Linked DNA regions of Oryzias latipes. The protein of the gene in region 3 purifies or fractionates together with the protein of the main gene of each other region. This does not show direct contact. Links are inferred from orthologs where the notes say so. Each region holds a gene or a part of one and is shown on either strand. Other genes may lie near its edges. The genes, in order: sqstm1; usp50; NACHT, LRR and PYD domains-containing protein 12; nek7.

Region 1 (7,363 bases), on a different chromosome or scaffold from region 3:
TGAAGGGTGATGGTTTTGGTGAACGCACTGAACGCACAACGTGTCCAATCTTGATGCAGAAGACCGCACCAGGTCTCACTCCTGTCAGCTAAGAACAGGAAACTGAGGCTGCAATTCACTCAGAATCACCAAAACTGGACAACAGAAGATTGAAAAATGTTGTCTGGTCTGATGAGTCTCCATTTCTGCTGCCATATTTGGATGGTAGTGGCTTTTATCAACGGTTCAGACTGATGCTGGTGGTGTAATAGTGTGGGGGATATTTTCTTGGCACACTTTGGACCCCTTAATACCAGTTGACCAATGTTCCAATGCCACGCCTACCTGAGTATTGTTGCTGACCATGTCCATCCCTTTCTGACCACAGTGTACCGTCTTCTGATGGCTACTTCCAGCAGTATAAGGCACCGTGTCATAAAGCTGGAATCATCTAACCCTTGTGCTATCCTAGGCACTTTAACGTTGGGAGTTGGGTCATCTAGACCCACTAGACAGTGCTCTGAACCTTTTTTCTTCAATGATTTGTGATCTTCACTGGTGTCCATGGATTACATGAAATCTTTCCACCTTTATCCACCTTTGTCATGGTAGGAAGAACACGTCAATGTAAGGGTGGGGTCATAGCACAAGGGTTAAGCTATGTGACCGGAACTTCTTTTTAGCCGTACATTATCACTGTGGATTATCATTTTTTAATGGGGTCATAGGGTGGGGTCATCTGGACCCCATAGGATAGCACAAGGGTTATGTGGTTTAAGGCAGTTCTGAAGGCAAAAGGGGGTCCAAGGCAGTACTAGCAAGGTGTACCTAATAAAGTGGCTATTCAGTGTATATTTCTTGTGGTTTGACATTTTATATAGAAATTCCTACTATTTTGGTGATAGCCATATACATGCATTTCTGCAGTATTGCATTTAGGTGTGCCTGTGCTTTACATCAAAGCCTTCAGTTTGGAATAACGGACACTGGCAAGTGTGTGTCTTCTTTCTGAATTTGTGTGTCTGGCATTAGGAACAATGTTACTTTTGAAGCAATTCTTTTTTTACAGGTTTTTTTGAAGGTAGTTTGTGCTTTGTTTTCTTCAACTGATTGTTTTAAATTCTTTTATGCTTGAACTGAAACACATCTTTCCTTTGTCTTTGTTCTGAATGTTGGCAAAGAGAAAATCTGACGACCTTTTTAAACTATATTTACTTTTGTCTTTTTTAAATCTTTGTTCATATATGGCAGACAATTCTTCTTTATATATACATTTGAAAAACCTTTTATATTGTAATATTTTTTATTCACTGAATAATGGATTATATAGATGTGTGTAATTACTGCCAGTGATAATAAACGTTATTGCCTTTTTTGTAGAATACAAATTAGCCTGTTTCCCTAAATTTCAATGCAGTAGTTTAGAAATGGAAGAAACTGAGTTAAACCGTAAAAACGGTGCTTTGTTATCAAGAGCTGACTTAACTTTATGAAACGCCAAGTAATGCCCTCAATGATGACTCCCAGAAATTTCACATTCTTCACTCGGTCAGTTTTAATTCCATCCATTCAAATAAATTATATTTGGGTTTGTGTCTCTGTTGCCAAGTATCAAGAAGAAGATACGTTTGAACCTTTTGGATGTGTTAGCAATGTTATGTATATACAGACTGAAGAACTGGTCCTAGAACAGACCATTGAGCTACTCCACAAGTTCTATTCCAAAATTGTGATTTGATCTTATTTGTAGATACTGTCGTTTACATGAGTTGTTGGCCGTTGAAGAGCTTTCCCTCCAATGCTATATTTGAGTTCAAGGAAAATATTGGGGTTTGTGTCAAATACCTTTTTTAGTTCAAGGAAAGTTCATGGATTGTTGTTGAATGAGAATTTTTCTTTCAATATGAGAGATCAGGCTGCTGTTTAGCACGTGGTCACTTTGAGTGAAACAGTTCTCTCTTCAGGTTCTGGTGTTTCTGTCATCCAACTTTCACTACTGTGTTCTTTATCTGCAGCTGATTGGTCCAGCAATGAGACGTTCTGCTGATGAAGCTCACTTCCATCCCCGCGCCTTTAGCTCAGCCTGCTCTCTCAAATCTGATTCCGAAATCCAAGAGGAGGAGCCTCCAGCTTGTGGGCGGAGTCAAGCCCCCAACATGCCCCACCCAGGACTCAGTGTTTCCTCCCTGTTCGAAACTGAGGAAGACTTCAGTATTGACTTCTAGCAGCTCCTATGTGTAGTCTGGTTCAAGTGTGCTGCTGGTGGAGGTGTTGCCGTGGAAACAGGTGATATAAAATTACATTTAGTGTTTCATTTGGACTGTTTTGGTTCTCAAAAGCAGCCTGCTGTGCACTTGGCAGTACAGGTGTGTATCAAGACTCCACCCACTCGGATTCCTTCATGTTTTTATTGTTCAGAAACAGATTAATAAAAGACAGAAACAGGTTAAGGAGTTGATTAACAGTTGAACAGATAGAAACTCAGGTTAAATAAAGCAGCTGGTGCGGTCACTGTGGTGGGCGGGGCTGCTTGGCGTACTGGATGGCGTCCAGAGCCGCTCCAATGTCAAAGTTTTTGGCCTGGAGGAGTCTGGTGAGCCAGCCCCCCTCATCAGTGAAGCCCATCGACAGCATCTGAGCCAGAGACTCCACCAAGTGGGGGTCCGCCTCTGTGGGGGGCAGAGGGAGGAGCTTACAAGAGGGCAACAGTCATAGCAAATGATACTTGTGAGAACTAGACTCACCTTGAGGCAGGTGGGGGTACAGCGCAGCCTCCCGCAGACCTGTTGGCCCCTGCTGCCCTCCCGACGGGGGCCCCTGCTTCCCTCCCGACGGGGGCCCCTGCTGCCCTACCGACGGCTGCTGCCCTCCCGACGGGGGCCCCTGCTGCCCTCCCGACGGCAGCTCGCACTCGTGGTTCTTGGGGTCTAAGGATTGCAGCTCCCCCGTGGACGGGTCCACCTCTTTGGAGCTCAGGTGAGTCCACTCCTCGTCAGAGTCCCGGCTTGCCTGCGTGTACGTGGGGACGAGGGTCAGTTGTTGACACGTTCATTTCAGTCATTGATCAGTGAACACAGACTGACCTTTGACCTCTCAGCAGTTGCAGACTCCCCTTCGTTTACATCCATTGCCACATTGTCATCCCCCCCTCCAGCCTGAGTGGGTGGATTCACCTTCGACCTCTGCCCGTCATGCTCAACATCAATGTCCACGTCGATTCCTGCATGGAAATCATGACATCACTTCCTGCCTGTCCCCCAAAAACAGCAACTCCACTATGTACACTCACCCAGGGGGCTCAACATGGCGGCAACCCCCTCCCCAATGTTCTTCAGGAAGTCCACACTAGCCTGGGAAGCTGCAGAGGTCAGAGGTTAAGGTGGGAGCATGTTAATGCCCTAGGCTCAAACGTTTTTTGAGTTTCTCTCACCTGATGGTTCTCCACCGTCACCCGAAGATGCTGATGGCCTTGGCTGGTCCTGCTGTTCCTGCTGCTCTGGGTTTTGGTTTTGATTCTGGTTCTGGTTCCACATGCAGTGTCTCATTCTCTTCATCCACTTTCCACGGGGAAACCACTGCAGACACAGTTTCTGGTTCAGTCAGTGCATTTTGGCTTTGACCAAAAAGTCCTTTCTTTTAAATCAGCACGATGTCCAGACAGAAGTGGAAAGACGATTAGATGGTTAGATGGAGTAACTCACCTGCAGGGGGTGCCAGATGGGCAGCAAAGCGTGCTCAGTGTGCTTCCCTTGAGCCTGGCAGGTGGAGCAAAGGTCGTAGTCGGGACAAACGGAGCACTTGAACCGCATTCCCACAACCGGCCCTTCACAGCCGTCACAGGTGACGTTAGGGTGCAGGGCGGGGGGAGGGCCGTGATGTGGAGCATGAGGGGGGCCATGGGGTGGTGGGTGTCCAAACATGAAAGGGGGTAGGGCATGCAGTGGGAAATCACGGCGGTGCTCCTTCTTCTCTGTCAGAGTTCAGGAAGAAAAAAAAAAAAAAAACCGTGAGGGAGGACTGCTGGGAGGTCACTCTGATCTCACACAGGAGGCCGTGCATTTACCTTTGATGTAGAGGCGGAAGGTGGAGTCCTTCACGCAGCCCAGGCCCATCATCAGCTCATCATCAGAAGAAAAGGCCACCAAATCTCCATCCTCATCTGAAATATAAACCGGAATCACACCTGAAGCTCCTCCCCTCTACGTCATAAGGTCCCACCTACTCCGCCTGTGTTTGTGTGTGGGTGTGGGGGGGGGGGGGGGGTCTAAACTTCGGGCCTCCTGATCAACTGAATATTTTCAATTGCGCACAAATCAAAGGACAGAAATTTGTGGGCGTGGCTACATGCGTCACGTGACAGCAATCCCTTTAAATTAGCTGTTTCTTAAATAAGTCAGTGGGCGGATTATGTTTGTACAGATTCAAATGTCTACAGTCCTTCTATATACTCGAATGTTTCTCTAAGTTGGTCTTCCGCGTTACTGCGGCTGTTTAATAAAGTATTGACAAAAAGTTCGGTTCCAGGTTAGTGAGTATGACGGTTCCGATCAGACCCAGCGGATCCCGGCTCTGTCTGACCCGGCCCATGCGGCTCACCTTTGTAGAAGAGGTTGAAGGAGGAGTTCATCAGGTTGGAGAAGACCGCCGCGGTTTTCTTGCTGAGATATTCGAAGTTGCAGGACACGTCCTGGTCCACCGCGAAGCGGCGGATCTCCTTCACATGCTCGTCCTTCCCCAGAAGGTAAGCCTTCACCGTCACAGACATGCTGCTGCTGCTGTGGACTCCGAACCACAAAGTTCTGACACCGGGAGCAGGACCGAGACACAGACGCAAAACCGTCACTTGAACAGTCCAAGAAAAATCCCAGTTTGTGACGCAGCGATAAATTTCAGCCTCTTTTATGTTTACTTCCGCAGGTGACGTGATTCTGTTAACAGTTGCGCAGCCGCGGATTGGTCCGTGTAAAAGGAACGCCGGTTCCAGAGGTCCAATCAGAGGCCGTCTTGTGTGTCACGTGATCAGGATCCCAGCAGACAGTTCACACACATCGCGGAGTCACCGTGAGAAGGCAGACTGCGGCCATGAAAACACGGAAACGATGAATCGCCTAGAGACGTCCTCCTGTGTTTATCAAACCTGTGGCCCATCGGAATGGATCCTTCTAGAATTAGTAGGAAAGTTCTAGACTGCTTCAGTACTTTTAGTGTTTCAGACTAAACAAGGGAAAAAATTTAATCTTTTCAATTTAAAACTATGGAAGTTCATTAAAGAGAAATTAGTAACTAACCATAAAATGTCAGTTATTTTAAATAAATAATTCATTTAACATTGGAATTTTTTTCCTTAAAACAGTTAAACTTCATTAGATTTTTTCTTTTGGAGAAAAAAAACGTTATATGTTTTTGAAATTTGTAATTCATTTTTTCTCAGCTGTTCAAGGAGGAGCCTACATTTTTATGTTATTCTTGTTAATGTTATAATGTAATATTTATTCTTTAAAATTATTATTGTTTTAGAGATTACTTCCAAGTCAAAAGGAAAAAAGTTTGTCACAAGAAAATAATAATAAATAATCAGGCCTTATAACATCGAAGACAAGTGAACAATCTAAACCTAAGATACAACTTTACTTAAATAAATAAACCAAAACTACAACGCCATTGTTTATTGAAATCATCAGGGTTTTTTGTTTAAAGCCAAAGAGACCTAATGGAAGGTTAAAATAGCTGCATGAAGACTAATATATTGTATTCTAGTAAATACTCATGATTAGTTAACTGTAAGCATTTTTCATGTCTACCATTATTTGTCCTGGATCACTGAGAGGGAGTTGATGTCTAAAATTCTTCAGTTATTTTTCCTATTCAGAGGGAAAAAAAGAAAAACAATTTTCAGAAGTGTAGTAAATGGATTACATCTGTAAACTACCAGTAATGATAAATTCATAGTCAATGTTTATGAGGAAATCTCCTGATATTCTGTCCACCTTTAGGTCTTCTCTTCAAATCTTAATGATTAATTCACCAACATGGGGAATTTGCATGCTTTGTTCAGTTGTGTGTACTGTTGTGTGTTTGTGTACTCTGCCTTCATGCACGCCTTTGTGGTGATGTCACCCACCGTCCTGAGCCAATCAGCTGACAATGACTCACAGTCACATGAAGTCAGTAAAACCAGTTCAATGACCACTGAGGAAAAAACCGTGAAGTCATGGAAGGTGGTTCCCTGAGAAACCACATCAACCCTGAAGACCTGAGAGAGGCTCACCTCTGCAGGACTGCAGCCTGGAACCTTAGTGACCTGGAACCCAAAACCTTCCGTTTATCTGAAGCTCCCACAGTTTCACAGATGAAGAGTGTGACGATCAAAGAGTCTGACTTTCACCTGTTTCTTATCTTAAGAAGAGTCTGACTTCCTGTTTCTTTGTTAGGGTGGGTGTGATCTCGTCTTTGTTCTGTCTAGATCACTGTTGACATTCAATGCAGACACTTCAGAGCTTTTCTCCAAAGCTGTAACCAGTCCACCAAATCTCTGCTTGTATCAGTTCTCATCCTCAGTCTGATGCCTGTTGTTGATGATGACACACAAGGAGGTAACACTGACAGTGCTGCAGCTACACCAGACAGAACGGTCTGTTGTGATTAACTAAGATATATTGTGACATTTCATCTCAATAAAGGAGATTTCCACAGCTAATCACACAGGAAGACCCACCATCCAATCAGAGGAACACGCAGATACAAAAGCACCAATCGCAGCATTTGTTGACAATAGACAGCAGGAAGACATTAACCGTCTTTTCTGAGCTCCTCTTTTTGGTCTCCATCTCTGCACCTCCTCTCTGCTCCTCTTTTACATCTGCCCCCAGCTTCCCCTGTCTCTGCTCTTTCAATTCACTCTTATCTGTTGCTGCAAATCCTCATTTCTGCTTGATTGTTGAACTTCTGTGAAAAAGTCTGTTCAGCGAGCTGTGAATCTGTGCAAATAATGAAATCCTCTCACCTTTGTGTGAACTGAAAGTCCGTGTTACTGTCTCCGGCTGGGATACAGTTCTAATATATTCTTTAACTCTGGATAGAAAATCCCCACCAGACCTGAGCAGAGTTTTTCTCTATCTGCTCCTGTATGGTTTATTATTGGCAGTGACATTTTGGAGCTGGGATTGTGATTTCTTGCTCTTGATGAGCCGGAACAACAACCTTCTTTCTTAGTTCTGATGAAATCAGGCTTATACCAACAACAGACAATCTATTTGAATCGATTGAAATTTATTTTATCCACAAAGGTCTATTTTATCCACAAATATTTAATATTTAACAGTTTCTGTACATATTGTTCATTTTTTGTTAAGAGTTGTAAATACAGTATTTCTATTTCCATTCT
Region 2 (7,271 bases), on a different chromosome or scaffold from region 3:
CAAACTACTGACTTACCTTTTGGTCAACCAATAAATTGAAACCCTTTTTGCTTTTCTCATAGAAGTGAAACATCTCTATGTATGCTAATGTTAGATCAGGTCTTGATAATTGATGAATAACTAGTAAATTCAGGGATGAAGAACTTCAGTATTAGTTTTGAAAAACACCATGAAACTGTAAAACAATTTGCACAAAAAGTGTGAGTCTCTAAAGAAAAAAGTTGGTTGTTCACACTGTATTTGAAGACATTGATGGAAAATTCAGTGGAAGAAAAATGTGTGGTTTAAAAGGCAAAACAAGCAATTAAATTATATGAAAACTATTCAGAAGATGGATTTGAACTGCTGTCCTTGCCATGTCACCGTGCCTAATCTGGGTTAGGAACAGAAACATGGATTGGTGCTCAGTGGTTCAAAGTTCTCTTCAGCTTAAAGGAAAATTTGCATTTCTTTTAGAAATGAAGATCCCACATTTTCAAGGGGAAGACAAACATCATTGTTTGAAATTTTATGTAACTTTTTTTACCATCATTAGTGGCTTTGTGGGGTAAACGGTGCAACAGTGGTTAACACCATCGACTGACAGCAAGAAAGGTTGAAATCCCCGCTGGGACTTTTTGTGTGGAGTTTGCATGTTGTCCTTGTGGATGCCTGGGTTTTCTTTGGGCACTTTGGCTTCCTCCCACAGTCCAAAAACATGCTTCATAGGTTATTGATTTCTCTAAAACTGTCCCTAGGTGGGAGTGTGTTGCTCTGCATCAGACTGGCAACCTGTTCAGGGTTTGTTCCACTTTCGGCCCCTTGACCCTGAAAGGAATACAGCAGGTTCTGATGATGGATGGTGGTTTTTAGAGCCATTGTGATCTGTTTGTGTCAGTCCACTCTGTTTGATCAGGTCATGGGTCAGCTCGGCTGCCTAAGAGGGACGATTGAAACCCTTTAACATTGTTCCACTCATTCTCTTTATTCAAATGCTGATTTTACTTTCTAGTAGGACTTTGCAAATTGTCAAAGGCAGAAAGTATTTCCTGTTTTAGGAACCAATTTTGAGGTTTTAATTGCCTGTGAGCAGCTGGACGGCTCAGTTGGCTGCGTGCAGGACTGGCGCAGGAGAAACCAGGGTTTGATTCCCAGGGGGCGCGATGAGCTTCATCCATTGTGGGTCCTTTGGCCAGACATCTTCGTGTTATACAACCTAACAATGTAGCCAAAAGTCTGGGTCTCCCTGTGACAGTCCTCAACCCAGATGAAGTACAGGGCCTGGTGTAAAGAAAATCTCTGCCAAACCACCTGTGCAAACACTAGCTGTGAGTTATCTGTGACAATCTTCTTAAAAACGTCTGACTTTTAGATTGGATTTGCTAAAATCCTCCTTCTAACAAAGATTCTGTTCATGGAGATGAGTTTGCAGAAATTGAAGGTTTTTCTGGTGCATTTCCATACAAAGTTTGGCTTTAAAACCCAGAAGGCTTTAGGCTTTGCTGTTCTTAAACCTGCAAGTTTGTTTGGGAAATGTTTGTTTTATTACAGTTTTTTTCTACTGCTGGTAAATGCTTGCATTGCAGATATTTTCATACATGTACATTAAGGCTAGAAAATATTTCATGCAAAGGTCCAAAACATGTTGGAAGACCACCTGAAGCGAGGCATGGACGTTCTTCAGGTTCCAGCTCATTTGCTCAACATCCAGCCGAAACATGACGTGACATGACTACAGTTTCAGGTGGCTGTTTGTTCGTCGTCAGGGCTGTGTTGTCTGGCTACTGCTGATCCCTGGTGATTGAAGTTAACAGTAGATTCTCATGAGTGTGTGTGTTTGCTTCATCATGCATCCACGTACGTACAGTACACTCCCAGGAAAGAGGATGCAACTTACCTGAGCTGCATTCAGTCTCTGCTCAGCTTTACCATCAAACTTAACGGGATGCTGGAGAGTTTCAGGTAACACGTGGATCCCACATTTTTCTTTTTCTAAGTTCTAATTGAGCTCAAATATTGTTGCATTTGAAGAAACCAAACTGTCATGGTTTCTTTGTAATGCAGGGACAGGGGCTGAAATGAAGGCCAGCTCCATAACTGTGAAGGAGTGCACCTGGACAACAGAGGAGTGCCATCTAGTGGAGGAGCTGGATGGAGCTGTGGAGACCGACAGACTTTGTTTGCCAAATATTTACAGGTCTAGAAAAGTGAAGCCACGTAGAAAGAAGACTCCAGTTACCCCAACATATCAGGTTTACCATACTGCCAGAGAGCTTTTTCTAGAGGTTCTGGACAGAGAAGCCATCTGGGAGTTGATGAGGAGAGCTCCTGGAGTGAAGGCTGGAGGTCAGCGGCTGTCACACAGCAGAGAGCAGAGCAGTGTCCTCTCTGAGGAGTACGCTGAGGCACTGATGTGGTTTTCTATAGTTCTACAGAGTGGTTTGTGTGTTGGAGAGAACTCCAGGTTCAGCCCTGAGCTAACCCAGAAGTTGGACAAATTACAGGGTCTTCTGAAGAGAAACAGCATCCAGAACAAAATTTTGTCTCTGACCGGATTGGAAGATGAAAACAAGTTGGAAGCCTTGTCTGCTTTCTGCAGCCACATATTCAGACGCTATCAGGTTCTGCACTGTCACGGCCCGAACCTGACTGTGACAAAATACAGACTATACCACCAGCAGGGTCAGTGCTCTCTCCAACTGGCTCTCCTCGCCGACACAAGCTCTGGATTCATCTGCAACATGTTCCTGTACAGTCAGCAGCAGCTCCAGAAACAGAGCAGGAAGCCTGTGGTTGAGCAGGTCATCAGGTACCTGCTGGCACCTTTCTGCAGCCAGAAACGGGTGGTGCAGATTGATTCCTCGGCCTGGATGGAGGGCAAACTCCAAAACATCCTCTCAGGAGTAAATATGAATGTTCACTTTGTCCCAACGTCTCAAAAGGAGGTGAGGAACCTGACATCATCTGCATCTCTGCCAATCTCACCTCAGCATCTATCATCTAAGGACCCAGAGTCCACATTTTCCTCCCACCTGCAGGGATGGACCGGCCCTTGTCTGGTTCCCCATTCAGACCCAACAGGATCTTCTATGGATGTATTTCTTCCAGGCCTCTGGGTCACATTGCACACAGTCTGCATCAATACGTATGTGCTCCACACACTACAACGCCTGCAGCTTTCAGGCAGGCACATCCAGCTGACGGAGTTCAGCCAAGCTCTGGCCTCACAGCTGACTGCCGACCACAACATCAGCGTTCCGGTTCTGCCGCGGCTGAATAGCTGCTCTTACCAGGAGACTGGCTCAACACACCTCTGCAAAGCAGGGTGAGTCTGTGTGACGTTGCTGCACCAATGAAAGCTTCAACAGTTAAAAGAAAAGCAAAAACAAGCCACTTTCCATTTTTGGATAATTTGATCTGTGGAGATAATGAAGCTGAGATTCAGCTGAATCCTGTTTAGCATCACTGCATCTTCCTCATCAGCAGGATCAAGCTTTTAAAATAGCTGATGATGCTTTAATCCAGCAGTAATGGTAAATCTGGGATCCTCCATGTAGAATTAGTTTCTGTGTATGCTGTATTTACTGTTTTATCTTTGCAGGACAAGTACAAAAAGTGTTGCCACAGCAATGGAGAATCCCAGCTCCAGCTTACTGCTGAGATTCCAGAAAAAGTGCAGGAGACCAGGAGTGTGTGGCCTAGAAAACTCTGGCAACTCTTGCTACCTGAATGCTGTGCTGCAGTGTCTGTGTGCCACTGTGCCCCTCGTGGAACAACTTCTTCACTGGGACACACGGAAAGGACTTGCAAGGTACCACCACTTTATCTTGAATAACTCAGATGTATACCATCGCAATTTCTCAGTGTTTTGTGTTTATGAAGGTCTAAGTGCAGGGTCTCTGAAGTGTTTGTGCACCTGCTGGAGAAAATGTGGATGGGAAGTGGCTCCAGCTGTAGCCCTTTGGAGGTCAGGTCAGCGCTGTGCTCCGTCCTCCCCCAGTTCAACAACGACTCCCAGCAAGACGCACAGGAGCTGCTGCTCCTTCTCCTCAACACGCTTCACGACGACTTCAACAAGGTGCTCTTAAACATGTTTGGGCGCTCTACTTTGTGTGCTCAGACTGACGGTGTTTCTGGTGTTAAAGGCAGCACAGCGGCAGGCGCTCTTCTCATCACAGCCGGCGAGAATGGAACAGATCAAGGGCTGCTCGCCCCATTCAAACCTTGTCACACGTTTGTTTGAGGGCCAGCTAAGCTACATGTGCATCTGCATGCACTGCCATCACCAAGCACATAACACCCAAGCCTTCACTGTACTCTCATTGCCAGTTCCAAAGGGTAACATCAAGTGCTCCATTCAGGTATTGCTTGAACAACAAAAGAAGCATTCAGTGCTTCCTGATAACCCCCCCCCCTCCCCCTCCAGCAAGAACACAGTGGTCTCAGTTGATCTTCTTTGTGTGTTTGTGCAGGACTGTTTGGCACTGTTCTTCAAGCAGACTGTCCTCACTGGGGGGGAGCAGGCCATGTGCTCAGTGTGCGGGCTGAAAAGGGAAACAGCCATCGTCACGTGTGTGGACAGAACTCCAGAGATCCTCGTGCTGCATTTGAAACGGTGTGTTTAACCCTTGTGCTATCTTAAATGACCCCACCCTGACATTGACGTGTTATTCCCACCATGACAAAGGTGGATAAAGGTGGAAAGATTTCATGTAATCCATGGACACCAGTGAAGATCACAAATCATTGAAGAAAAAAGGTTCAGAGCACTGTCTAGTGGGTCTAGATGACCCAACTCCCAATGTTAAAGTGCCTAGGATAGCACAAGGGTTAAACAGCATCATGTCTCTTTTACAACCACTGTCAATGTAAAAACGCAAACCTGTTTGGGTCAAGCACAAGGCGGCAAACTGAGACTCCAGAGCTAATTTGTTGTACCCCTTCATCATGGCTCACTAAAGAAATATTTAAGGGCTACTAGTAAGCATTGATTTGGTTGGGTTTTTTTAAGGTCAGGGCTAAGAACAGTAAGTTATTTTACACTCCTGCCTACGTCAGACTAAATCAATAGGCCTCATGTTCCCGGCATTTCTCCAGAATGCAGAGATTTCAAATTTTGTGCAAAAGATTGGTAAGAGTTTCCTTTTCTGTAAGCTTTGTCATTAGAATAGGTTTAAAGCACATATTATTGTATGTTGCACAAGTTTTAGTTGCGGTCCAGAAGAGAAGTGCTAAAGATATATTTGTAGATAACAGTACTTTATATGCTTTTCTAAATTGGACATCAGTTACAGTTACTGGTTGAGAAGTCATGTTTATATTACGTTTATCAGTGGTTGGTAGGGAAAAGGATGGTGGCCAACAAAATTGCCATGACAATTGAAAAAATGCGATTTTAAATTTGTATGTTTGAAATTTATTCATTTGAATAACTTTTGTTTTAAAAAAAAGTATAAATGTGACCTCTGTAATTTTTTTAAATGTTGAGAGTCACAGATTAGGTGTACTTCATGGATGCCATAGGTGAGAGTTCAAATCCATCAATTTTCATTACCCACTACCTCGTTTGGAGTCACGGGGCTGCATGGGTGAAAGGCGGGTTACATTCTGACAGGTCGCCATTACGTTGCAGGGCACACAACCACTCCAACACGCATACCTATGGACAACTTAGAGTAACCAATAAGCCTGTGAAGCATGTTTTTGGTCTGTGGGAAGAAGCTGGAGTGCTCGGAGAAAACTCACACATAATCGGGGTGAGCATGCCAACTCCACACAGAGAGGCTCCAGCCGGGATTCAAACCTGGGCCTTCTGGCTGTGAAGCAAGAACTGAACTACTGCGCCACCATGGAGCCCAAGAGTTTAAATAAGACTCAAATAAGTTACTCAGTTGAGTAACTAGAGTAACACATGTATTTGTTGTGAGGCACTTGTGTTGAGTTATTCATGAGACAGCAGGAGCTAAGCAGTTTTGGATGAACATCAGAAATCCCCTCTTCCATCTTGTCTGCAGGTTTGGATCCAAAGGGAAGAGTCAGGTGAAACTGAGAACAAACGTTCTTTTCTTCATGAAGCTCGACCTCTCCCAGTTTCTGTCAGGCCTGGTGCCGAATGAATCATCTTACCACCTGTATGCTGTTGTGGTGGGTAAAAACTCACACGCATTTGTCAGAATAAGAACGTCACGTCTTGACTTAAAAAAAAAAAAGACGACTAAATCATAAAAGGCAAAAATAGAGTTTACCCTGACATTATTTTTGAACATGACAATGAGGCAGAATCTGGTCTAAAATGAAAAAAATTAATAAAATCTGAAGGGGAACAAAAAAATAATGTAAAAATGATTCTGCTCTGGTGTTTTTTTCTGCTGTGGGTCTAATATCTTAAAACACTTCTGGATAATTTTTCCAAAATAACATTTTTGGAGATGGAAAACAATAACATAAACAGGGCATACACTGATGAAAAACCCACCTTATTTCAGAAAGATAATTATTTACTTTCTTTTATTTTGTGTACACACTAAACAAATAGAATTTTCATAGTATTAAAAAGAAAAATAATCGTGAATTAAAGAAAACAAAACGATTGGCTGAGAATACAGGGCTCTGGGATTTTCTGATCATGGCAAACTTAGTGTTTTGCATTGATTTAGTTTGAGTTTTTTTCTCTTGATGTCTCTCCTTTCATTTGTTGCTACAATATTGACCAAGAAAACAAAAAGGAACTAGTTTTTTTATTTCAGGGTGTTATCTTCATCCTCATAGAAACAAACTCCTTTTCTTCTACAGAACCATACAGGTCACCTGAACATGGGTCACTACACAGCTCTGTGCTACAACAGCCTGGCTCAGACGTGGCATTGTTTTGATGACGCTGCAGTCTGTGAGGTTCAAGAGGACCGTGTGCAATCTCCAAACGCCTACCTGCTGTTCTACAGCCACAAGCCTTTCCACAGGCCGCGAATCGCCGGCCTGTAAGTTCTGCCAGTTTCCTGTCAGAATCCTGCTCGTCGTGCAGAGTCCTTCTTACCTTCCAGGAAAGAAATAATCTAGAACCTGCTGGTCTTTTGGGTTGCAATACAACTGCTCACCTGCTGCATCAAAACCACAAAATTAAATAATATTCAGACACAATCTTCATTTGAAGCCGTTTTAATAAATTATCATGATTTGCTTGGGGTTAATATCATAGTTATATATGAAACTAATTATATATAGACCTTTAGAAAATTTGAATAAACACAAAAGTGAAAAGAAGTCCAGGTCATTCATATATCATGCAAAGCCTC
Region 3 (7,087 bases):
TAAGTTTAATGTCAGAGAACCGAACCACGTCCACGGATTCATTTTGAAATGACCTTCTGCCCTCACCGAGCCTTTCTGGCGTTCCTCACAGCTGGGATCAGCCTCTGTTGACCCTCTGGAGATGTTTTGTACTTTTTCAGGTCCAGCTCGTCCAGAACCTCCTCTGATGTCAGCAGCATGTAGGCCAGAGCGGAACAGTGGATCTCTGAGAGCTTCTTCTCTGATCTGTTCTCCGTCTGCAGGAACTCCTGGATCTCTTGGTGCACGGAGAGGTCCTTCACCTCCACCAAACAGTGGAAGATGTTGATGCTCCTGTCAGGGGAGCTACTGTAACTCTTCATCATCTTCAGGTTGTCGATGACTTTCTGGAGGGATTCTGCACTGTTCTCCGTGTGACACAACAAGCTTCCTAAAAGTCTCTGGTTGGACTCCACAGACAGCCCATGAAGGAAGCGGACAAACAAGTCCAGCTGTCCGGCGTCGCTCTGCAAGGACTTCTCCATGACTTTGCTTAAAAACTCATCCAGTGTTGGGAAATGGGGAACGTCCTTTTCAGACGGCCAAAACATATTAAAGAAAGACTGCAGAGTTGAAGGTCTGTTCGATTGTTTTTGACTCACCAGGAAGTTCTCGAGCACCTCTGTGTTCTTGATTGTGAAGCAGTAGAACATGTAGACCGCAGCCAGAAACTCCTGGACGCTCAGATGCACAAAGGAGTAAACAGGTCTTTGGAAGATCATGCACTCTCTTCTGAAGATCTCAGTACAAACCCCTGAATGTAACAGGGCCTCCGTCACATCCAGACCACACTGCTGCAGGTCTTCTTGGTAGAACATGATGTTCCCCTTCTCCAGATGTTTAAACGCCAGCTTCCCCAGCTTCAGGAGGACTTCCCTGTCAGCCTCTGTCACTTCCTGTGGACACGTCTCGCATCCCTGTTGGTACTTCTTCTTCCTCTTTGTCTGGACCATCAGGAACTGCGAGTACATGTCAGTCAGAGTCGTTGGCACCTCTCCTCTATCTTCTGTGGTCAACATGTGCTCCAGAACCGTAGCAGTGATCCAGCAGAAGATTGGGACTCTGCACATGACGTGAAGGCTCCTGGAGCTCTGGATGTGGGAGATGATTCTGCTGAACTGCTCTTCGTCGCTGAACCTCTTCCTGAAGTACTCCTCCTTCTGAGAATCATCGAAGCCGATCACTTCTGTCAGCCGATCCACGAGTTTTTCAGGGATCTGGTGGGCTGCTGCAGGTCTGGAAGTGATCCAGACCAGAGCTGAGGGAAGCAGACGTCCCTGGATGAGGTTTGTCAGAAGAACGCTGACTGAGGACTTCTGGGTGACATCAGACACCACCTGACTGTTGTGGAAGTCCAGAGAAAGTCTGCTTTCATCCAGGCCATCAAAGATGAACAGAAGTTTATTGACATCCAGCTGCTCTGCTGGGATCTTCTGGAACGCTGGATGGAAAAGCTGGATCAGACTGTGAAGACTGTACTGCTCATCTCTGACCAAGTTTAGCTCCCTGAGGGAAAGAGGAACCACAGAAATGACGTCTTGGTTCTCCAGACCCTCGGCCCAGTCCAGAGTGAACTTCTGCACCAGGAAGGTTTTTCCAATGCCAGCAATGCCGCTCGTCAGAACCACTCGGACGGGTCCATCCTGGTTCTGGAAAGCTTTGAAGATGTCGTGGCACCTGATTGAAGCCTTGCGTGTTTCTTTGTTCTTGGAGGCCGTCTCCAGCTGCCTCACCTCGTGTTGGGTGTGCACCTTGTCCCTCAGCCCCTCAGTGATGTAAAGCTCAGTGTAGATGTCGTTGAGAAGCATTCCTCCTCCTCCTCCTGCTGCTTCTTCTTCACTTCCTTCAGCCACATGCTCGCTTCTCTTCCTCTGTCTGACCCGATGTTTAAAAAACTGCTTCTGGAGACGAAAACCTTCTACGAGGGGAAAAACAGAAGCAGAGAGACAGAAAATGGTCTCATTTTGGTCCAAACCCACGTCACAAAGGTTTTACTCTGAGTTCTTCTGCTCTGACCGGCTGTCTGCGGTCCAGCTTCCGCTCTGGATCTTCTTTCACATCGTGAACAGGAGGAGGCTCTGGATGGAGCGGCCTGGTTGGAGGCGATGCACTGTCTGCACAAGCCGTGTCCACAGCTGCTGCAGACCGGCTCCTCCAGGACGTTCAGACAAAACCAACAGCTGGAGGGCTTCCTCTCCCCAGAAGAATCTCTCTGTCTGTGAACAGGAGGAAACAGCTCAAACAGAAGCTGACAGAGATCAAGAAAGGAAGTCAGATCAAGACTCCAGACATCCACAACAAGTTCATAACTATTCCCTAGATTACACATCCTGACAGAAAGGTTTTACAATGACAGGTTTTCTGCATCTCCTTAAAAACATTTAGTCTTTCTATCTCACTGAAAGGCATCTTTGAAAATCTGTGTTGATAATCAGGGCTTTCCTGTTCACATTCAGCTACAGTAAAGCAGACATGAAACCTCTGATAAAGCTAATCTGATAATCTTGGATGAAACGGCCTCTTACTTTGAATTTGGGCGACCCGGTTCGGCACTGAAATTCGGGTTTTCCTCTTTGGACCAGTCACTCTTCAGGGACAGAGAGCTGGACGATGAAGAATCGGGTTTCTGTGGATGTCTGTAAATAAAAACAGAAGATCACAGCCGTCTGCAGGTCATAAAAAGAATTTTCTGCATTGATGTGATGGCGTTCCAAGTAAAGAACATTCCTCAAAATAAAAAGATCGTGCGATCCTTAATTAGGCATCTTAAATAGATAAAATCCTAGAATTTATCACCCTTAATTGTAATTTAGGATTACAAAAAAATATTCTGAATCATATAAACTTTCCACACAAAAAAAAAAAAAAATCACAGAATTCTGTAATTTTAAGCTTTAGTCCTAAATCATGTACAGAATCACCTTAGCGCTCGAACTGCTTAAAGGAACCACAATTAATGTGCTTTATGAATAAAAGCAGACCTCCGAAACAACAGGAACACCCCTCTTTAGGACTATACCAATTGGATAAAGGTTCAAGGTGTTGTTTTTTCTTTTAAACGGCGCAGCGTGCCGTCAATTCATCAGTTTTCCTCTCTAAAAAACACCTGTGAGATTCCCTGAATAACCAGTTCAGCAAGGTGAGGAGAACTTCCACTGTAAACATAGATACCACTCATTAAGAGAACTACAGTGGGGATGATGACCTGAGAACCAACATAACACACCAGGTTGTAGGAATATAGAAGGCTTTTTATAGGAAAATAACTGTTTTAAGTTCATCTTTTCCTCCTTTGCACAAAGATCTCGCTTGGTAAAAAAAAAAAAAAGTATTTCCTATTTTGTCTCACAAAAAAAAAGTCTCACTTTGAGGGTGATGGTTCAGGTTCAGCACTGAAATGCGGGTTTTCCTCTTTGGACCAGTCACTCTTTAGGGACAGAGAGCTGGATGATGAAGAACAAAGTTTCTGTGGATGTCTGCAAATAAAAACAGAAGATTACAGGGTAAAACCTGGGTAAAAGAGGGCATTTCTCTGCATGAATGTGATGGAGTTTCACTTGAAGGGATAGTTTTCAGACTAAAAAGACAATGTGATCATTAGGCAGATTGCAGAAGGTTTCTTACAGGAAAACAAACTGTTTTTGATCATCTTTTCCTCCTTCTGTTCAAAGATCTCCCTTTTTTTTAGTAAGCGTCTTACTTTGATTGTGAGGGTTCAGGTTTGGATCGGGGCAAACTGCGAGATGGTGGAATCTCTGATGTGTCCCTCTTCCTCTTCCTCCTTGAACCACTCATCCTCAGTCATAACCTGAACCTGAAGCCATAAAAAATAAACCCAATCTTTAACAGCTGGTGTGACTCACATCCCGCCAATCACAGATTTTATTGATGGATGTTTGTTTCTTAATCTCTATGGCAGTCAATCAAATATTCACAGAGTCAAACAACAGTTCGAGATCCGTTTGAGGAATTGCTCTTCTGACAAAATACTGCACATATTTTCTAATAAACACTATTTGTTCCACTGTCTAATTTAAAGCGGCTTTCTCCTTCCCTGATAAGAAACCCACGTGACCTCTGACTGTAACTTCCTGATTGATCATTTCTCAATCAATCACAATCATTAACAGTCCGATCAGTAATTTCCTCTGAGACTCTCCTTCACTCCTGTCTGAAGAATGTGCGTCACGTCAGTCCAAAGCTGTAATTTGCCTGTTTCTACCTGTTCACAAAGTTTTCTTGTGCGCATGTCTGGAGCTGTAAAGTTCCTGTGCAGACAAGACTTGATAATATTGACACAGTAGTTGGATTATTATATTAATTATTACTGTCATATAAAAAAAAAGTTATTTAATTTTCTTATCTTGGAAAATCAAAGACACTAATAAACTCTTGACCTGCATACTCACATAAGCCGAAGTTCCTATTTCTCCCCCCGTCATTGAGGCCTCTGCTCTGCAGCCTCCAGTCGCTTCCCTCCCTGCGCAGGTATCAGGTGACAATGACTGCGCAGGTCGCCCTCATTTTACCTTCAGGGGCAAATGACAGGTTTTCTCTGCATCATCTGCAGCCTCTGTGGCGCGGGAAGGTCCATGTAGATCCGGACCGAATCCTCGACCCGCTGTTGCTTCCAACTTTCTTTTTCCGGATCGTCATCAACTGCGACTGAGTTCTGTGCGCAAACACCTCCGGAAACTTTCGGTTTCGGTGGCCTGCAGGGGGCGCTGCAGACCGGACTCCTTCCAGGCGGACTGGTGACGCATTTCTCCTCCTCATCTGAATAATATTAACTTTTGCAAAGAACAGAGACATTAGAGCGGTATTTCAGAAAAAACAGGGTAACTTTGACACGTATTGGAAACACTATCTTGGAAAAAGACCTGCTTTTTACCTAATTCTATTTCCAATGAGAAAAAAGACATATCAAGTTTACATAGATTCACCCTGCCAAAACCCATTTAATAAAATGTAAACCCAATATTGAAATAATCATCTGTCTTGGCATTGCCCCCTTTACTCAATCTTTTTGGCCATTTTCTTTTGTTACTAATTTGCTCTCTCCTTTTTTTAAATTTGGAAATTGTTTGTCTTCCACCAACATAACAATATGCCATTTTACTTTTTAACAAATGTCCTTGTGGAAGTCAAATTATACTGAATTAGTTAATTTTTCAAATAACCCAAAAGTTATAAAATGTCTTTAAATTTGCTCCCAACATATAATTATTTCAACTGTCAATTCTGCAATGTTTTATCAATCCTCCATACTCTGTGTGCTTTTGTAGTTTTTTCCTACTTTATTTTTTTTTTTGTTTTATTTTATATCATTTATATGTAATTGTTTTGTACTGAGATTGACGTTTACAATAAAGTTAAAAAATAAAAATAACTTCTGCATAGAATTCATCCTGCTAATCAACAGATGATAAGATACGTTAAAATTGTTAATCCTATTCCCAGCTCTACATGGACCTTCCCGCGCCACAGAGGCTGCAGATGATGCAGAGAAAACCAGTCATTTGCCCCTGAAGGCAAAATGAGGGCGACCTGCGCAGAAACAATTAGCCATCTATGGTGGAACTGGTACAAAAACATTTAGAATCAATTGTAATAAACATTGACTCAAAATTTTTGAAAATAGAAGTGGCACAAAAAAATTATATTTGGTAAATTTCATTAATTTCCCTTCATGAAAACTAATAATATCATATCATATATAATAAATTGGGAAATATTTATATTTATTTACAATTATATTGTAACGTCATCAATTTTCCCGAAGTCTCAACAGAATACAACTATTTGTACGCAGGGTCTGAGGGGGCCGATGAGGACAAACAAGCGAAAACTACATTGTGGTGCCCTCTGGTGGAGAATTGTAATAATACAGACATGTGAGAAAGCGCATCCTTGGTGCTTGAGGATTATTCTACTTTTTCCACTGTCTTAGGTTGGTGTATTTTGTCAAATTGATGGAAAATAAAGGGATAAATTTTAAATTGTAATAAAAAAATGTTTAATCTCACACCTTCTCAAAACATTAAAACATGTTAACACCCACTGATCCACCAAGGCAGATAGACTGAAAGTCAAAGTCAGCTTTATTGTCAAGTATGCTGCATCCATAAGACATACAGCACAGATGAAATTGATTTTCTCTCACCCCACAGTGCAAGCAGCATATAAAATAATAAATAAACGACGTAAAAAATAGATAAAAAGACAGTAATAGTAATAGTAAGAGGAATAACAGTAGTCTAAACAGTGCTAAAGAACAGTGGCATGGTTGAAGTGGCAGTTTAAAGTGACATCAGTGCTGAGAACAGTAAGTGGATGAGTCATTGATGGCAGTCTTTGGTGATGATGGTGTTCTGAAATGGTGTGAAGTTTTCAATGTGAGCTTGTAGGATGGAGTGGAGGGGCCAGAGGGGGGAGGGCAGGGAGGGAGTTGAGTGTCCTTATTGCCTGATGGAGGAAACTGTCTTTTAGTCTGCTGGTTCTGGCCTGCAGACTTTGCAGCCTCCTGGCAGCAGGTTGAAGTGTCTCTGGGATGGGTGTGAGGGGTCCCTTGCAATCCTGATGGCTTTGCGGGTGAGGGTGAGAGGGGGGGGGGGGGGGGGGGGCTTGTAGGATGGAGTGGAGGGGCCAGTAGGGGGTAGGTCCTTGTCAGTACCGGGTTGGACCCGCTTTTGCCTTCAGAACTGTTTTAATCCTTGGTGGAATAAATTCAACAAGGTTCTGGAAACATTCCACATTGGTCCATATTGACATGACAACATCACACAGTTGCTGCAGATTTGTCGGCCGCACATCCATGATGCCAATCTGCCGTTCCAACACATCCCATAGGTTCTCTATTGGGTTGAGATCTGGTGAGTGTGGAGGCCATTTGAGTCCAGAGAACTCATTGTCATGTTCTAGAAACCAGTCTGAGATGATTCCAGCTTTATGACATGGAGCCCTGTCCTGCTGGAAGTAGCCATTAGAAAATGGTACACTGTGGTCAGAAAGGGATGGACATGGTCAGCAACAATACTCGGGTAGGATGCAGTGATGTAACATGATCAAT
Region 4 (7,261 bases), on a different chromosome or scaffold from region 3:
GATTAGCTGACCGGTGACAGATGTGCATCAGCCAGATGGAGAAAAGGTTTTTGACCGCTAGTGCGGTAAATGAAACATATAGAAGTCAAATCTGCTTTCAATAATGTAAATAATAAAAGAAACAAATTAAATTGTAAAGTTAATCGGAGTGAAAGGCTTATTTTCTTCGTCGTACAAGGAAACGACAGCCCGCTTAACGCGTCAGCTGTCGTTTGCATCACACATCTCAGCAACTCAAAGTGCTAGAATTTGTTAAACGGTTTGAGGCTTTTAGCTCCAACAATACGAGGATAAAGCTCGTTGTTTTTGCTCTTTGTAGCCTCTCATCTTTGATTATCTACTTAAAGGGTATTTTATTTTAGATGGAATGTTTACTTTAATGATAATTGTTCAATTACTTTTATAAATTTATTTTGATTTCAATAAAAAAAACATTTTGTAGCAAGTATATGGAGCCAAAAAAGAAAAAAGACAATTTAATTTTCTTTGCTTTGAAATAAACTACACAATGTTATCGTGACATAACCCGACACTGGATACTGAGAGAACTTCATCATCTCTAAAGCAGGTCCGAGGTCAGCATTTTTGTTTTTGTGCATTTCCGTAATCTTTTCCCCCCATAAGACTGCTATTGTGCCCTTCAAAGAAAAGCATCAATGCACAGTCAAATTAACAACTCTCATATGACATAAGGAGCCACGAGGCATTATCCGAGGATATTTTACTGAAAGAAGCATCAGTGACCCTTCATATGATAGAGGGGAGGTGGATATGGAAAATATTGACAGGCTGGTTGCTAGAGAAGAGTGCAAAAAGCCATTTAGACAACCCACACTCATTGCTAGAGACCTTAGTCTAAACTCTAACCACCCTGAACCGGAGAAGAAAAGATTAAATTCATAACTCTGCCAGGGAATTAAGAATCTACTTGACTAATCCACATAATTTCCTCTGTTTTTTTTAAAACTTGTATTATAATGAACCAAGCAGCCTCAAAGCCTTTATACCAGACTGGCCTATGTAGTGATCTACTACCTTTGTCAGGATTGTTTCTGCACACTTGGGCAAGGGCTTTGACATCATGCAAAAGACAGTGTTAAATGTAGCTCAAAAAGCCTAGGGAAACATCTCCTTTCAAATATGCGTTGTAAAATAAAAAAAATGCGAAAAAAAGCAAACAATGTTTTGTTCTTTCTAGAAACCCAAAGGCAAGATGACTGTTAAAGTGGTCAGATGACAAATGTCTCATCTGATCTTTATTCCTTTAAGGGCCAGCTCCAGGGCTCAAATAAAAACTCGCAAGACTGACTGTTTTGCTGCTCTAAATGCAATATATTTCTTTGGCATATAAATGGCACTTTAGCCCTTATTGTCAATGCCTCAATAGAATAAAATCACTAACCCAGCAGAATTTAGCAAAAAAAAAATGAAAGAAAAAAAAAAGACTTTTTCAAAATTGAGTAAAATAATATTTGCATTGGTAAAGTGCACATTAAAAAAATATGGAAACATTGTATATATAAACAATAATAACTGTCTTTATTTTGTTTTTAAGGGTTACTGCTCTACCGGACCACTTTTCTGTTCATCCCACTTAGATCCAAGCAGCACAAAAAATACAAAAAAAAAAAAGAGTTAAATCATTTAGTATTTTCAAAGCCTGTCAAAAGTAATCCACCTCCCATCACTGAAACTCAAGGGGAGATGTACTGGCAGAAATCCTTCATCACAGAGGCTGACACAAACATTTGCCATCCGTTTCTGCTTATCCCGCTCATGACACATTCCTTGACTATCAACTTCACAGGGCCAGCCAGTGTTCATCTCAATCACCTGATGATGCTCACAGACTGAGGCCTGTTGTCTCTGATGATGATCAAATGTGGCAACACAGAAGTGAGTAATAATTGGGTCAACAAGGTATGTCAGCTCCCACTAACACTTGTCTGAATCATCCCTCTGTAGCATAGCCAAGTGCAAAAGTATGACGCCTGAAATATTTGGCTGAGAGGGGCAGTAACAGCACCATGGGAAACGGCTCCAAGTCTAAATATGACCCAACGTGAACTTTTTCTATGATGAGTAATTCTCTAGCTTTTTACCTAAAATATACAAATTGAATAATACAAAAGACATTTGAATATGGTTTAAAACAATTTATTTCTGCTGAAGATAACAAAAATCTAGAAATTAGTTACGGAGTTTTGTTAATGCTAAGAGTTTTTATACTAGAAGTGTAACAACCGGTACTCGTTTTAATGCTTCGATTCATATAATACAAATTAAATAAATCCATTCACAAAGAAAAAAAATTATATATATATATATATATATATATATATATATATATATATATAAAAACTGATTGGGCGGCGTTTCATAATACAGATGGACAACGACCCAAAACATGCAGCCAAAGCAACTCAGGAGTTCATTCAAGCAAAGAAGTGGAATATTCTTGAATGGCCAAGTCTGTCACCTGATCTTAACCCAATTGAGCAGCATTTCACTTGTTGAAGACTAAACTTCAGACAGAAAGGCCCACAAACAAACAGCAACTGAAAGCCGCTGCAGTAAAGGCCTGGCAGAGCATTCAGAAGGAGAAAACCCAGCATCTGGTGATGTCCAGGAGTTCAAGACTTCAGGCTGTCATTACCAACAAAGGGTTTTCAACCAAATATCAGTAATGACCATTTTGTTTTCAGTCATTTCATTTGTCCACTTACTTACGAGCCCATGAAATGAATGGATTGTGTTAAAAAAATGCTTTAGTTTATCACATTTTTATGCAATCTTGTTGTTCAACCCATGGAATAAAAGCTGAAAGTCTGCACTTCAATGACATCTGAGTTGTTTTATTTAAAATTCACTGTGGTAATGTACAGAAACTAAATTAGAATGTCTCTCTGTCCAAATATTTATGGTCCTGACTGTATATATTCTTACGATCTAAGATATCTTATCATCCAAACACATCTCAAAAGCTGCCAAAAAGCAACCTTTTTGTTTTCTTTTCTTTTCGCTTTATCTCCTTATCCAGAGATTTACAATTAACTAGTGCTTGTTCTCACTGCCAAAACACTGAATGAATGTGATTTCCAGTCACAAGTTCTGATTTAATTTGATAGGCAAATTGACACCAAGCATTCAAATTAATTTTCCTTATTATCTCATTAAAAATGAACATTGAAATTGCTTAGTAGGCAATTAGTTCCCAAAGATGAAGATAGTCAGACTGTACTGAGGTTTTGTTTATAGAATTAATCAGACATCTTCAATTGTTTTATTGTATGTGAGAGAGATAAAAGAGGGGTTGATCAATTATTTAACAAACCGTACGTCCAAATAAATCAAATAATGTTCTTCCTTCGAACGACTGAGAGTAAAGCTACATCAACACACATCTGTCGAAATAAGCGGACACTGTACTGTAATGGTTCCATTTCAGATTTGGCTCCGTTGTTTGTTGTAGGGTGCAATGAAATACATGTGTTAGACATATACTTGCATCAAAACACCAATCAATTTGTGGCGGAGACCGTGCAGAGTGTAAGCACTCACCGACAGAGGCAGTTGTTTATTTCAAAGTTAGCAAAGCGGTGTGCTAATCAGCTAACAAGCTAAGCTAGCTAGCAAACTTCAAGGAAACTTTTTTTAAGGACCCAATCCAGACTTTAATAAAAGACACACTGACACTTGTGGGTTTTATCAACAATATTGTTTTTTTACAAGTATAACAAAAGAATTAACAACTCTCAAACAAATGTTTACTAGTTTGGCCAAGTTTTATTACTGTCAGCTCTAGACTGTACTCACCAGGAAGTCGGACTCTCAGTTGCTAAGCTATCCCTCCTTCACGCTACGAGTTTTCTATGGTCACTCAGGACGCTACTACTGTTGGATGACTTTTTCTTTCTTCCCAAGGTCGGAACCAAAAGGTGGGTCTTGTGTGGCAAGTCGCACTTGGTTTTATGCTCCGTCTCCTCACATGGAGCGCGTGTGCTACGAAGTCAGTCGAGACGTGATTTCAGGCAGACACTTGTGTGGAAGGCCCCTCACCACCACACGGCTCATACTTGTGACCCGAGAGTCAGCAATGTAAACAACCCAGCATTCCCGAAGCCCAGAGGAGGGAAGATGTCAAATACCGCGAGATTTAAGAACTATGCTTAGTTTATTTATTTGTTGGTTTCTTCAATCAATCCTATAATTGCTATTGCTAATATGTAGGTGTTACGCTCTTTCCACATTTAAATAATACAACAATTTGGTTGTTTTTTTTTTACAAATCTGATGTTGCATCTTAAGACCTCCAAGTCTAGACCTCATGTACCATTTTGTTCTGATACTTGTGCTTTCATACGAATAACTTTTTTTTTAGCAATTTAATAGTAATCACATGTAATCATCATCTATTTTTAATCTAGCCTAAAAATTGCTGTAAAAAACTAATTTTTAGGTATATTCATTTAAATTCCTGACAATGTAGTGCAGTAAAAAATCAAAATACATTATAAAAACAGCTTCACTGGCTCCCCATCCCGGCCATTCCGCATTCAATACAAAATCCTGCTCTACGCATTAATCAAAGCCTTTCACAACCTTGCACCTCCATATCTCCATATGGCCTCCTTCATTATGAAGGAGGCCATATGGAGATTTGAACTTCATATCTCCATACCTGCTCGCTGCCTCCGCTCCTCTTCCTCTATCCAGTTTTCTGTCCCTTCTGCCCGTCTTGTCACCATGGGGAGCCGGGCATTCAGTTGCTCTGCTCCCCGGCTTTGGAACTCACTCCCCCCTGACCTCCGCAACACTGACACACTCCCACATTTCAAATCAAAGCTAAAAACTCATCTTTTCCAAATGGCCTATTCACTTTAACATTGACCTTTTCATGTTTTTATATATATTTTATTTAATTGTGTATTTATTTAAATTGTTGTTGTTGTTTTAACAGCTTATTGTATTTTATACTGTATACATGCTGTGCGACGACCTTGAGTGCCCAGAAAGGCGCCTTATAAATAAAATGTATTATTATTATTATTATTAAAAAGTGGCTTTATTAAGTTTTCTTATTATAAACAACGTCCAAGCTTAACTTTTAAACTACCGAGGGGTATTTTTTTAACCCTGAACAATAAAGAAAAAAATTAAATAAAAACAAAACACCAAGTCTAGAGTTCTCTAATTTAACACATAAAAAAGTAGGAACTCTTTTCTGAGCAATCCCAAAAATATTGACCACAGACTTCTTATTAATACCTATAACTGCCATTATTGTCACGTGTCACATGATCAGGGGTGGATTTAGTAGATATAGAAGATATAGTGCACCTGCAGGTTGTTTTTTTGTAGTTTTGTGTATGGAGGGGGTGGGCAGGTCCTAGTATTTTTTGTTGACCGCATAATTTAACATTAATCATTGTATGAGTTTCAAGCCTCAAAAATGAGTCTTTTTTGTTATATATATTTTTCACATGCTTACAAAAAAATAAACCTGCCTCTGCGTCTCCAGAGTCTGATCAAGGATTAAAGTCGTTACAATACCATAATACATAGGTTGACACACCTTATTATGCAGTTTATCACAACAGTAAGACAGTAGTACAGACATGAGTAATTTTATAGTTTCCTCTAACATGTTTGGTTAGTGTGATAAATTTGAAAACTGGGATGCAGCAGAAGAGAAAAAGAGAAGAGAAAATAACAAGACTGAAGTACTAATAATTGATTTAATATTTATTTCTTTCATAAGTGATCATGGTATAAGCGGTAGAATGCCCTTCCTTCGGAGAGTACTATCAGAGACTATCAGAAATGAATGGACTTTGTGGAAGCAACCATCTGACGCAATCAGACTTCCATGCCATTTTATCATTTTGATAACGGACACCTTATCGGAATCTGCCCCTTGCATAATAAATAATAGTTAAAGATTAAAAATAAGATTCTTGCATTTTTTTAAATAATACAATAAAACAAAAATAAAGAGGGGGCTCGGGCATCTAGTCCGGATGCCTCCTGGGCTCCTCCCTGGAGAGGTGTTCCGGGCATGTCCCACTGGGCAGAGGCCCCGGGGAAGACCCAGGCGGGCCTGGGAACGCCTCGGGGTACCCCCAGAGGAGCTGGAGAAAGTGGCCTGGGCGAAGGAAGTCTGGGCATCTCTGCTCAGCCTGCTGCCCCCGCGACCCGGTACCGGATAAACGGAGGAAGATGAATGGATGGATGGAAAAATAAAGCTATTTTAAATTTTCTTTTATTGGTGTTGTTATAAAAATGAATGCTCATTCAGAAACAGCCCAAGTTTTAAAATATGAAATACTTTATTTACTGTTCACATTCTTTGTCTAACAGTTACCAGGACAGGGTCCAGCAACCCTGTGACCCTAAAAGGGACATAGTGGATCAGAAAAGTGGATGGATGTTTGACTCATTATTTTTGTTGGTTAATTGTTTGTCATTCCTCTTTATCATAATTTTAGCTTCACAAAATTAATGTTTCTCTTTCCTGGAATGAAGTATTTGCCTCTTATTTCAGCGTAAGCTGTTTTCTATAGAGTTTTGTCTACAAAAAAGTTTTAGAAATAGAATTGCAATCTAAAATATTGAGGATTCTGCAGAAAATGTCATGCAGAGGGCAGAGCACTATGTTGCAATAAAACTTGCATGTATGACTCAATATTTATTCATTTATATTCACCTCCTATAGCATACTGTAAAATAGTTCATACTGTAACAGATGCAATTTGGATTAATATTTTCCACATTGACCTTTAAGTTTCCAACTCACAAAAAACATTTTTGTTTCATCATTTAAAAGTACAGTTTTTGCTCCTTTTTAGTCACTCTTAAATGATGTCAACTTCAGAGTACTTTAACCTTTACAGTATCTGTTGACATCTTTTCTTTTTCTTCTTCATCTAAAAGATGAAAGCATAAAAATGGTCCAGGAAGCTCTTGAAAAGTGTGAACTCCAAATCCTGCACCTATAAATAATATGGTATTAATCCTAAGGTCAATGATTTAAAAAGAAAAACAAACAGGCGATGATCCACACAAATCTGTGAATCTTCTAGAAAATGACTTAAAATGAAAAGTGCCAAGTTCTTGCAACAGTACTGTTAAAGTCCAGCTCAGGTTCTGCATTAATAAACACAAACCTCAACAATCTGAGGGTTTGAAGTTCTTCTCCAATGATGTAAGAACTCATTAACATTATAAAAAAAACATCATCTGCTAAATTTATATTTACTAA

What was found.
Region 1: the proteins of NACHT, LRR and PYD domains-containing protein 12 (region 3) and sqstm1 purify together in Homo sapiens (affinity purification with western blotting; 3 studies listed by BioGRID). This does not show direct contact. The link is inferred for Oryzias latipes from reciprocal best matches to the Homo sapiens genes NLRP3 and SQSTM1.
Region 2: the proteins of NACHT, LRR and PYD domains-containing protein 12 (region 3) and usp50 purify together in Homo sapiens (affinity purification with western blotting; 3 studies listed by BioGRID). This does not show direct contact. The link is inferred for Oryzias latipes from reciprocal best matches to the Homo sapiens genes NLRP3 and USP50.
Region 4: the proteins of NACHT, LRR and PYD domains-containing protein 12 (region 3) and nek7 purify together in Homo sapiens (affinity purification with western blotting; 9 studies listed by BioGRID and IntAct, with this or other methods). This does not show direct contact. The link is inferred for Oryzias latipes from reciprocal best matches to the Homo sapiens genes NLRP3 and NEK7.

The regions. Positions count from the first base shown.
Region 1 is NC_019868.2:3,814,918-3,822,280, forward strand, and holds sqstm1 (sequestosome-1), read right to left. Parts: upstream 4,745-7,363; coding exon 4,576-4,744; intron 4,139-4,575; coding exon 4,043-4,138; intron 3,950-4,042; coding exon 3,681-3,949; intron 3,555-3,680; coding exon 3,410-3,554; intron 3,338-3,409; coding exon 3,269-3,337; intron 3,200-3,268; coding exon 3,063-3,199; intron 2,989-3,062; coding exon 2,724-2,988; intron 2,649-2,723; coding exon 2,488-2,648; 3' UTR 2,374-2,487; downstream 1-2,373. Other genes in the region: mrnip (MRN complex-interacting protein), read left to right, coding at 1,995-2,204. UniProt on the Homo sapiens protein: Molecular adapter required for selective macroautophagy (aggrephagy) by acting as a bridge between polyubiquitinated proteins and autophagosomes.
Region 2 is NC_019861.2:13,655,278-13,662,548, forward strand, and holds the start of usp50 (inactive ubiquitin carboxyl-terminal hydrolase 50), read left to right. Parts: upstream 1-3,434; 5' UTR 3,435-3,551; coding exon 3,552-3,790; intron 3,791-3,861; coding exon 3,862-4,057; intron 4,058-4,124; coding exon 4,125-4,340; intron 4,341-4,451; coding exon 4,452-4,594; intron 4,595-5,993; coding exon 5,994-6,123; intron 6,124-6,771; coding exon 6,772-6,960; 3' UTR 6,961-7,271. UniProt on the Homo sapiens protein: Deubiquitinating enzyme that removes conjugated ubiquitin from specific proteins to regulate different cellular processes. Regulates the inflammasome signaling pathway by deubiquitinating 'Lys-63'-linked polyubiquitination of the PYCARD/ASC adapter protein.
Region 3 is NC_019866.2:2,345,873-2,352,959, forward strand, and holds the start of NACHT, LRR and PYD domains-containing protein 12, read right to left. Parts: upstream 4,717-7,087; 5' UTR 4,428-4,716; intron 3,833-4,427; 5' UTR 3,814-3,832; coding exon 3,719-3,813; intron 3,495-3,718; coding exon 3,384-3,494; intron 2,655-3,383; coding exon 2,544-2,654; intron 2,235-2,543; coding exon 2,035-2,234; intron 1,937-2,034; coding exon 67-1,936; intron 1-66. UniProt on the Homo sapiens protein: Sensor component of the NLRP3 inflammasome, which mediates inflammasome activation in response to defects in membrane integrity, leading to secretion of inflammatory cytokines IL1B and IL18 and pyroptosis.
Region 4 is NC_019862.2:14,418,834-14,426,094, reverse strand, and holds the start of nek7 (serine/threonine-protein kinase Nek7), read right to left. Parts: upstream 4,106-7,261; 5' UTR 3,817-4,105; intron 1-3,816. UniProt on the Homo sapiens protein: Protein kinase which plays an important role in mitotic cell cycle progression. Required for microtubule nucleation activity of the centrosome, robust mitotic spindle formation and cytokinesis.